Oryzias latipes: one gene and its partner. The protein of the gene in region 2 interacts with the protein of the main gene of each other region in a biochemical or structural test. Links are inferred from orthologs where the notes say so. Each region holds a gene or a part of one and is shown on either strand. Other genes may lie near its edges.

What was found.
Region 1: the proteins of fkbp8 (region 2) and egln1 form a complex in vitro, tested with the Homo sapiens proteins (2 studies listed by BioGRID, with this or other methods). The link is inferred for Oryzias latipes from reciprocal best matches to the Homo sapiens genes FKBP8 and EGLN1.

What each region holds. Positions count from the first base shown.
Region 1 is NC_019873.2:28,399,783-28,403,946, forward strand, and holds the start of egln1 (egl nine homolog 1), read right to left. Parts: upstream 2,801-4,164; 5' UTR 2,530-2,800; coding exon 1,852-2,529; intron 1-1,851. UniProt on the Homo sapiens protein: Cellular oxygen sensor that catalyzes, under normoxic conditions, the post-translational formation of 4-hydroxyproline in hypoxia-inducible factor (HIF) alpha proteins.
Region 2 is NC_019862.2:8,042,253-8,046,442, reverse strand, and holds the start of fkbp8 (peptidyl-prolyl cis-trans isomerase FKBP8), read left to right. Parts: upstream 1-1,390; 5' UTR 1,391-1,827; coding exon 1,828-1,859; intron 1,860-1,959; coding exon 1,960-2,210; intron 2,211-2,371; coding exon 2,372-2,541; intron 2,542-2,657; coding exon 2,658-2,746; intron 2,747-3,191; coding exon 3,192-3,412; intron 3,413-3,690; coding exon 3,691-3,863; intron 3,864-3,930; coding exon 3,931-4,008; intron 4,009-4,190. UniProt on the Homo sapiens protein: Constitutively inactive PPiase, which becomes active when bound to calmodulin and calcium. Seems to act as a chaperone for BCL2, targets it to the mitochondria and modulates its phosphorylation state.

The DNA.
Region 1 (4,164 bases), on a different chromosome or scaffold from region 2:
GCAAGTCTGCTAAGATGCCAAACCTTTCCTTAATGCAGAGGTCTGTAGAATTCAACACTTAAAGTCCCACTCTGATCATCCTTTGATCTATTTGGAAAGTGTTCACCATAGTCTTTTAATCGTGATTGTGCCGATTTTAGCAAAAAACAAAAGAAATAAAGGTTTCTGCAGAGCAGCAGGAGTTCATTAGAAATTCACCTCTGAGCTGTGGGCGGGACCTCCACGAGGTCAGGGAGTAAGCCTGCCCTCATGTCCCATCAGCCCTTTGTTTACACTCTCTGTGCAACTAAAAACGTGAGCAATATCAGAGCTATCCAGTTGTACAGTTAAGATCCAGATTCCAGCTCAGACTAGGAAAACAAAGACGTGGACCTATTGGTCTGCAGGTGAATGCGTCAGAATGGGGTGGAACTTTTTTTTTTTCATTATCTTAATTAGCTTTATATATACTTTATATATAGTACTCTGCGACAGACTGGCGACCTGTCCAGGGTGTCCCCTGCCTTCGCCCACAAGCGTCTTCGATCATCAGAAAAATGCCACAAAAACATGTTAAAAACACATTTTTTTTTACTGGAGTGGGTCTTTCAAATACCATTCGGGTCACAAGTCTTGGCATTTATGATTACACCAGTTATTGTTTTTTTTTGGCAAGAATAAAACAAAGAGACAATTATTTAACAGAGCTACTTGAGTGACCATACCTGTATTAGTGGACCATAAGAACAGACTTTTGGTGACACGTGGCCCTCAAGTCAGTCAAAATGTTTTAGTAGGACTGGTAAATCGAGAAGGCGCACTGCTTGGTCAATTGCTGAAGCATTATGGGTACTGTAGTCAGAGCCTCACCGAGTGTTTCATCCTGAGCATGGATGGATTAAAGTTTGACTTCTCCGACTGCTTTGCTATGACAAATCTGGCTTTTAGTCTGACAAATACTTTGGTCTTTTTTTTTTGGTCCCTTTTTGTAGCATTTTTCTGCTAACTAGAGTAATAAGATTAAAACTGCATTTCTAGGCATTTCTTTATTCATGCCGTTTAAAAAAATAAGATCCTATTTGTGACGTAGAAAATAGGTTGAGCTAAACTTCTGTAACATGAAAACCAAAAGACACCCACGGGGCAGACACGACATAACTTATACGCCTCTGCCGCACGTGCGACAGGTAACTTCTGTCCTCCCAGGACAGCAGACTGACAGCATCTCGCCTTCCCGAGGGAAACAATCCGCCTCACTAATGATGCGTCTGCAGCACCGGCCTGAAGTCATCACAGCCGCCTGCCTCCTTGATGCTGCCGGGTCACGCCAGGTCAGGAAGCAACAGCCCTTTCCAGTAAATGATTCACAGCCCCGCGTGGCTTCAGGCTACTGTTTTCTACGCAACACACACCTAAAAACAACAACTGCAACAACAGGGACAAATTCTTATTTGGTCTTTTTCTGACAGGTCCGGGTTGTTTTCTATGTGGAATAAAACCTCTAGATAAAAGACAAGTTCTACTTTACACGACACAGAACAAATCACTCCAATTCAAAGAAATCTAACAAAATAAAGTCATTATAATTACGTTTTGTATATGCTTTGGGTCACAAATAAAAATGCAAAACTCTGTTCAGACCATATAAAAAGTAATTTAAAATTCAGACAAGTACTTAGCAAATATGTCACGTGCCAAATATTCAATTTTGGCCCCTTTTCCCTGCTCAATCCAGCTGGATTAAAACAAAAACACTCGCATCTCCATGTTGGGGATGGAGTCCCTTAAGGAAATCTTCATTTTTGGAGCCTGTGGAGCCAGGTCACGTGCGTGGTCAGGTGTCTCCGCACCTTCACCAGGTGAGATACTTACTTTTGTCCTTCCATTGATAGTGTAGTTTCCCAGGTTGCCGTTGCAGTGTCTGATCAGATCGTCCATGCGGCCCATGAGGAACCGGATCTTCTCGCAGCCGGGCTCTCGGCCCTCGATCCAGGCGATCTTGTCCCCGCGGATGTCTCGCGTGGAGTCGCTCTTCTGGCTGACCAGCTGTCCGTCCGTGAACTTGCCGGTGTCGTACAGGGCCTTGACGTCCCCCAGGACGCTCAGGCCGGTCTCCTCCCCGAGGAAGCCGTTCACCACGCAGATGCCGTGCGCGTTCATGCACGGCACGATCACCTCCAGCGCGAGCTTCTGCAGGCTCGAGCTCACCTGGCCGTTCGGCGTGGCGGGGCTGCCGCCGTCCTCTCCCGCGGAAACTTCAGGTGCCGCCTGCGCCGGGTCCGCCGGCTCGGGGGGGCTCTTTTCCGGGGGTTTCTGCGCCCGTGTGTCCCCCCCGGGCGGCGGACCCGGCTCAGACTTCACTTTGAGGGGCAGGGGTTTCTCGACCTCCTTACAAATGAGCTTGTGCTTCTTCCAGTGCTGTTTCTGGTGCTCCTTGCTACAGTAGAAGGAGCTCCGGCACCTCCCGCACTTCAGGAGGTTCTCCATTTTCCCGCAAAGTTCACAGTACTGCCGGTCCCGGTCCAGCTCGCTCTGCTGCTGCTTGTCCATGTTTGAAGGATCTTTATTTTATTTTTATTCCACAGTCCTGTCAACCGACAACTTTGGAGACGAGCCCCTGCCCCGCTACGACGAGCAAAAAAGGAGAGAAAAAGTCAAACGCCCGCCATTTTCCTCCATTTTTACGCGTTTCTTCAGTCATTTAAGAGCAGCACGCGCCCCAAACGGAGCGTTCAGGAGCCGTCGGGAGGCATTTCGGCCGGTGTCGTCTGGAACTCTGTGTACTGCATGGCGCGGCTACGTGCGCTGCCTCTGTGCCTTTTCTGTGGTCAAGCCCTCGATGACGTCAAAGCACACGCCCCTCCCCCTCGGAGAGCGTGTCAGGAGCCGTCGGAGAAACGGCAAACTTTTGCAGAAGTTTGAACTCTTTAAGCAGAGGACGGGCGCTTTCGGTTCCGTTCGTGAGCCACTTAGACGAGGTTCTATGCGAACCGTGGTCAGAACTGGTGCGGTTCTGGGTCTAAACAGAGAAATCCCAAACTCTGTGACTTTTTAATGAACCGCAAATGCATCTTTGCGTAGATATCGTGGCTCGTTGGAATTCCTTGAACGCAACATTTTTGAGATATTTATTTAAAAAATGAAAATAATAATAAAAATAAAAGTAAGAAGAAAATAGAAGAGAATAAAAGTCAATATTCGAAAGTTTAATTAAGGACAGTGATTGTTTCAAACGTGAGACTTTTTTTTACTGTTGACCCCCCCCATGCCAATTCCCCCTAAACTAGCGTCAGGAGTATCATTAGTTAATTACTTTACACAGAAAAGTTATTATTACTACTTCAAAAAAATCCAGGGCCAGCATGTAAACAACAAGAAAGAATGAATAAAAAAGTAAAACCTTTCTAATAAGTTTTGGTAAAATTAAAACACTAAAACGCAAAAATGATAGTATATAACAAAATAAAGCTAGAAATTTGGTTAAAAAAGACAAAGTGCAACAATGTTTCATTTGTATTTTAATTCTCAATATTATTCAAAAGTCAGATTTTTGTCAAAAACGGTCTGAATGGGTTCTATCCATAATACCAGTAACTCTATGAAGACTCTCATTCATCCAGGTGATTCCCCTAAACCTATATAATAATACCAGTAATGTTACTAAAAACGTTGAAGTTCTTACCTTTAAAATAAAAATACGCATTGTTATTATGAGGTAGCTTGATTTGTCAAGTACGTTTCAAGACAATTCAAAATGAATTACAAAATGTTGTTTTATTGTGATTAAAAGAGCAGTAAAAAAAAACACAAAAACATTATTATTTTAATTACGTGAAATTCACAAGTGAAAAAAAGGCGACTTTGACTTGAGCATAAATTTAAAGACATTGTAGTTTTCACCGTAGGAATGAAAGTAAGTACTAATGTTATAACATATAATAAAAAGGGTCATAGACACATTAATCATAATTCTGTTGGAGTTGTGTGAGGGACAGAGTTTAACTTTGTTTTTAGGGATTTAGAATTGAAAATAAAATACTTCACTTAAAACAATCTTCACTTATTAGACTTGGTTTCGGGAGCTCTGTGATAAATACCGTTATTTTAAGATTCAGGAAAAATCTGTTTTATTATGGAGGTCACTGGGATGAAATGCAGACAAAGCAGGAATGTCAACAGGGATGA
Region 2 (4,190 bases):
CATGGGTATTTATACCACTTAGATACAAGTTTGTTAGCTTGAATCATAGGAGCTGATGTTTTTACAGAAGATCACTTTGTCCAAAGCAGGGGCATCAAACTGATTTTCAGCGAGGGCCACATCAGCGTGCCGGCTGTCCTGGGGCCAGCTATAACTCATACATGTAACTAAATGTAATGAAAAATAAATGTACATACTCTTTAATGTTAAATAACTCATTAGTTATTTATTATAACTTTTTAAAGTGACAATTACAGCGGCATAGAAAACATGTGTTTGCATGGTACTCTAGCATAAATCCTTTTACATTTGATTCTGACAGGTTAGGTTATATTGGCAGTGTTTAAGTCCTAATGGATAGTTGCCCAATCAGATATTTTCAGATTCCCCCAAGATATGAATAAATACAAACCAATTTGTATTTTTATTCTAAAAAACTAAAAACTTTTATGCTCTCGCGGCCCACAAAAAATGACATGGTAGGCCACATTTGCCCCCTGGGCCTTAAGTTTGACACATGTGGTCTAGAGTGAAGTAAAGAAATGTCTTTTGGGCTCATGACACCAAAAATACTTCCGAGTTCTTCCTTTGCTTAAAGTGAAAACTGCTAATAAGCAAAGTTTCCCGGACATTCTTGTTAAAAAATGTCCAATCGGCAGCACATCGGAGGCAGAAACAACACAGAGATCGTTTAAGCTTTAAAAGTAAAAATGTGTGAGGAAATCCAGGAAGAATCACTCACAGCTTTGATGACTAAACTTGCGTTTTCATCTTTCGCTATTCTTTGGTCACATTTGGATTTATGTGACACCAAAATCAGTTGAAATGTGTTTTATAGTTTACAGTCCAGAATGCAGCTGCTTCTTTTTCACAGGAACCAGAAAACATGAAGACATCAGAGATTTTACATTTCACCACCATCTGAAAGAATTTACAGGACTGACCAACAAGCAGTTCTCTGTTTTTCAAAGTAAAAGTTCTGTGCCAGCCACTGATTCTTTTACCACCCTTCAATCAGTGAAACACATTTATCAGTAAAACTCCTTTATTCATTTCAAATTTTTGTTTTTAACTAGTAACAATGTTTAAGTACATTATTTATTGTGTTTTTCTATCTTTGAAACTTATTTGGGCGAACTTGTCTGGTTCTTCGGTTCATCAAATGTTTAATAATGATTGGAACTGTGTGACATCAGGATCTAAAGCATAACAGATCTTTCTGCTCTAAAAGGTTCGCGTTTTCGTGGTGAAGGATGTTCTCCGTCGTTTCATGAGTGAGCACAGGGTGTTTTTTAATGGAACCATTAAGGGGGCTTTTAATCTGAAAGCAGAGAAAAGCTTCTTGAAACATTAAAGCGATGCAGAGTGCTGCTGCGCATGCGCGAGGATCTACCGCTGTGACGAAGTCAGCCTGAGTGTCCACTGTGGCCCTTCCCGTTGGCGCCGTGCGCTCTAGACTTTTCTATTCGCAGTCTAACTTCCTGCGTGAGCTTGAAGGATCGGGACGCGGCTGTTGGACCAAAACAAGGCTGGAGGTGAATGTTCGCGTTCTAATTTACAATTTTAAGAACTTTTCTGTGTGTGTTCCTTCGTTTGGAAGTGATTCTAATCGACGACTTCGTTTTGTCAAAATGTCAGTGTCACTAAAAACTCTTAGTTTGATGGATGCAAATAAGCTAAGCCGCTGGCTCATAGCTAGCTAACCCAGCCACCTTCAGCTAACGCTAGCATTAGCATGTAGGTTTTGACCGAGAAACCTCGTTACTTTTTAAAAACCCACGGAAACGTCAGGTTTTCTGAAGTTTGGAGTAAAACTGTCTGCATGCAATGTTGGGGAACTGTAACGGATATCCTGGTCGGTACGTTAACGTCAGATTCTGCTGTTTGAAGAGCTTTTCTGTGAAGCTCAGAGATAAGCGAACAGAAAACGAGCTTCCTCAGTTTGACTGTCTTCTCCAGAATGGAGACCGTGGAAGCTGCAGACGGCCGCGAAAACGCTTCTTCTTCTGCCAGAAAGAGCGGACAAACGTCGTTGCTGGACAGCGGAGAAGACTTCGAGGTTGTGGATGAAGAGGACTTTGATGAGGAGCCTCCTCCTTTAGAAGATGCGGGAGGTGGGATGGAGAAAAGTTCAGATGAGACGGCGAAGAGGTCTCCACATGAAGAACCAGAGGCTCCGGCTCAGCTGGATGAGTGGTTGGATGTGTTGGGTGAGTCTGGCACTTGTTTGGCCTCTTCCCGCTGATGTTTCTTGGAAGAGAGAACAGTTCTTCATTTGTCTTTTGAATCTGACAGGTTCTGGAAGTAGTTGTGAGTTCCAAACAAGCATTTGGTGGTAGTTCTTGACAAGCCAACAGTTCTCTCTCTGCAGGAAATGGCCAGCTGAAGAAAAAAGTCACGGCGCCCGGGAAGGGACGAGCCAGTCGGCCTCAGAAGGGTCAGAACGTACGGATCCACCTTAAAGCTAGCCTGATCGATGGGACTCTGGTGGAGGAGCAACCTAACTTCTCCTTCACTTTGGGAGATTGTGATGTTATCCAGGTAAACCCTTAGTGGTGATATATGTCAGGGTTAGCCCCAACGCTCAAAATTACGTCTGCAGGTCTTGTTTTGTGGATTTGTCTCCGGTCAAACGTCAGTCAACACTTTTCTTCCAGGCTCTGGATCTGACGGTCCAGCTTATGGAAATGGGAGAAAAGGCTCTGATCCAGTCAGATCCTAAATATGCATATGGAGACAGAGGAAGGTGGGAGATAAGCTACTCTACATCAAACGCTGCAAATTGGTGATATAGAGAATTTTAACCATCCTTTAGAAAGATGGTAGCAGAGCCCAGAGTCTGAGGAGCCTCCAAATGAAATACTTTTTATTTTACTCACAGGTGGTTTAGTAAGTGGGAGGGGCTTTTTGACACACGTGGTCAAAAAAGTCTTGACATGTCTCACATTTACATAAACTTGGGTCAATAAGACCTTAAAAAGCAAACATTTGTCTTTAATTCAAGAGAATCTGTGTCTTTTCCTGACATGGGGGTAAAGGAAAGGAATCACTGGGAAATAAACTGTATGGATCCCTGGAGATTCACAGAAACAGACTGACTATGCCATCCTTTTTTTTTTGTTGGGGGGGGGGGGCGCTGCTGTTTTTGCTTCAGTCACTAAACCTGCCTGTTTTTTTTTTTCTCGTGTCAGTCTTGAACCTCGTGTTCCTCCAAACGCTCAGCTGTCCTTGGAAGTGGAACTCCTGGAGGCCACTGATGCCCCCGATGTGGAGCTGCTGCCCCCCGCAGAAAAGATTGCCCTCGCCAGTCGTAAACGAGAGAGGGGCAACGTCCATTACCAGCGTGGAGACTATGCGTTTGCAGTCAACTCCTACAGCATCGCCCTGCAGATAGCAGAGTCCAGTTCCAAAGGTGAGACCTTCATGACGCCGTCCCGCTTTCCCGGCAATGAAAGCTCCTCCCCCTGATCATCTTGCGGTGACTGATCAGTAACTGCAACTTTAAACCAAACAATGACGTGAAAATCAAAGCCCTGCAGATGTGAATGAGTCTTCAGTGGATCTTTTTAGCTTTTTTGCTCTGATCTTAGATTGAGATTTATTTCAAACATGTGAAGCAATACAAAATAATAATAATAATACATATAAAAAGAAGGAAGTTTGATATTGTCGTTGTGTTTTGTGGGACAGTGGACATCCGGCCGGAGGAGGAGGACGAGCTGCTGGATGTGAGAGTGAAGTGTCTGAACAACATGGCCGCCTCTCAGCTGAAGCTGGACCATTACGATGCTGCTCTGAAGTCTTGCGTTTCAGCTCTTGAGCATCAGCCAGACAACATAAAGGCACTTTTTCGCATGGGCAAGGTTGGCCTCAGTCCCGGAGCTTCTTGCTGCTGCTGAATGTCTGCTAAATGGTTGTTCTTTCCTCTAGGTTCTCTCTTTGAAAGGTGAATACACAGAAGCTATTCAGACCCTGAGGAAAGCACTGAAGCTGGATCCCAGCAACAAGGTCATTGAACTGTTTTCTCTTGGCAGATTGTCATTTTTACATTTGGCCAGTAGGTGGTGCCACAACCTAGACTATGGGTTGCAGCAGGCCACGTGGTCTGCTGAGTCAACATATGTGGAGATCTGTTTTCATGTTGCTGCTGAAAATAGGTTCACCCTAAGGCTGGGCTAATGCCAAGCCAG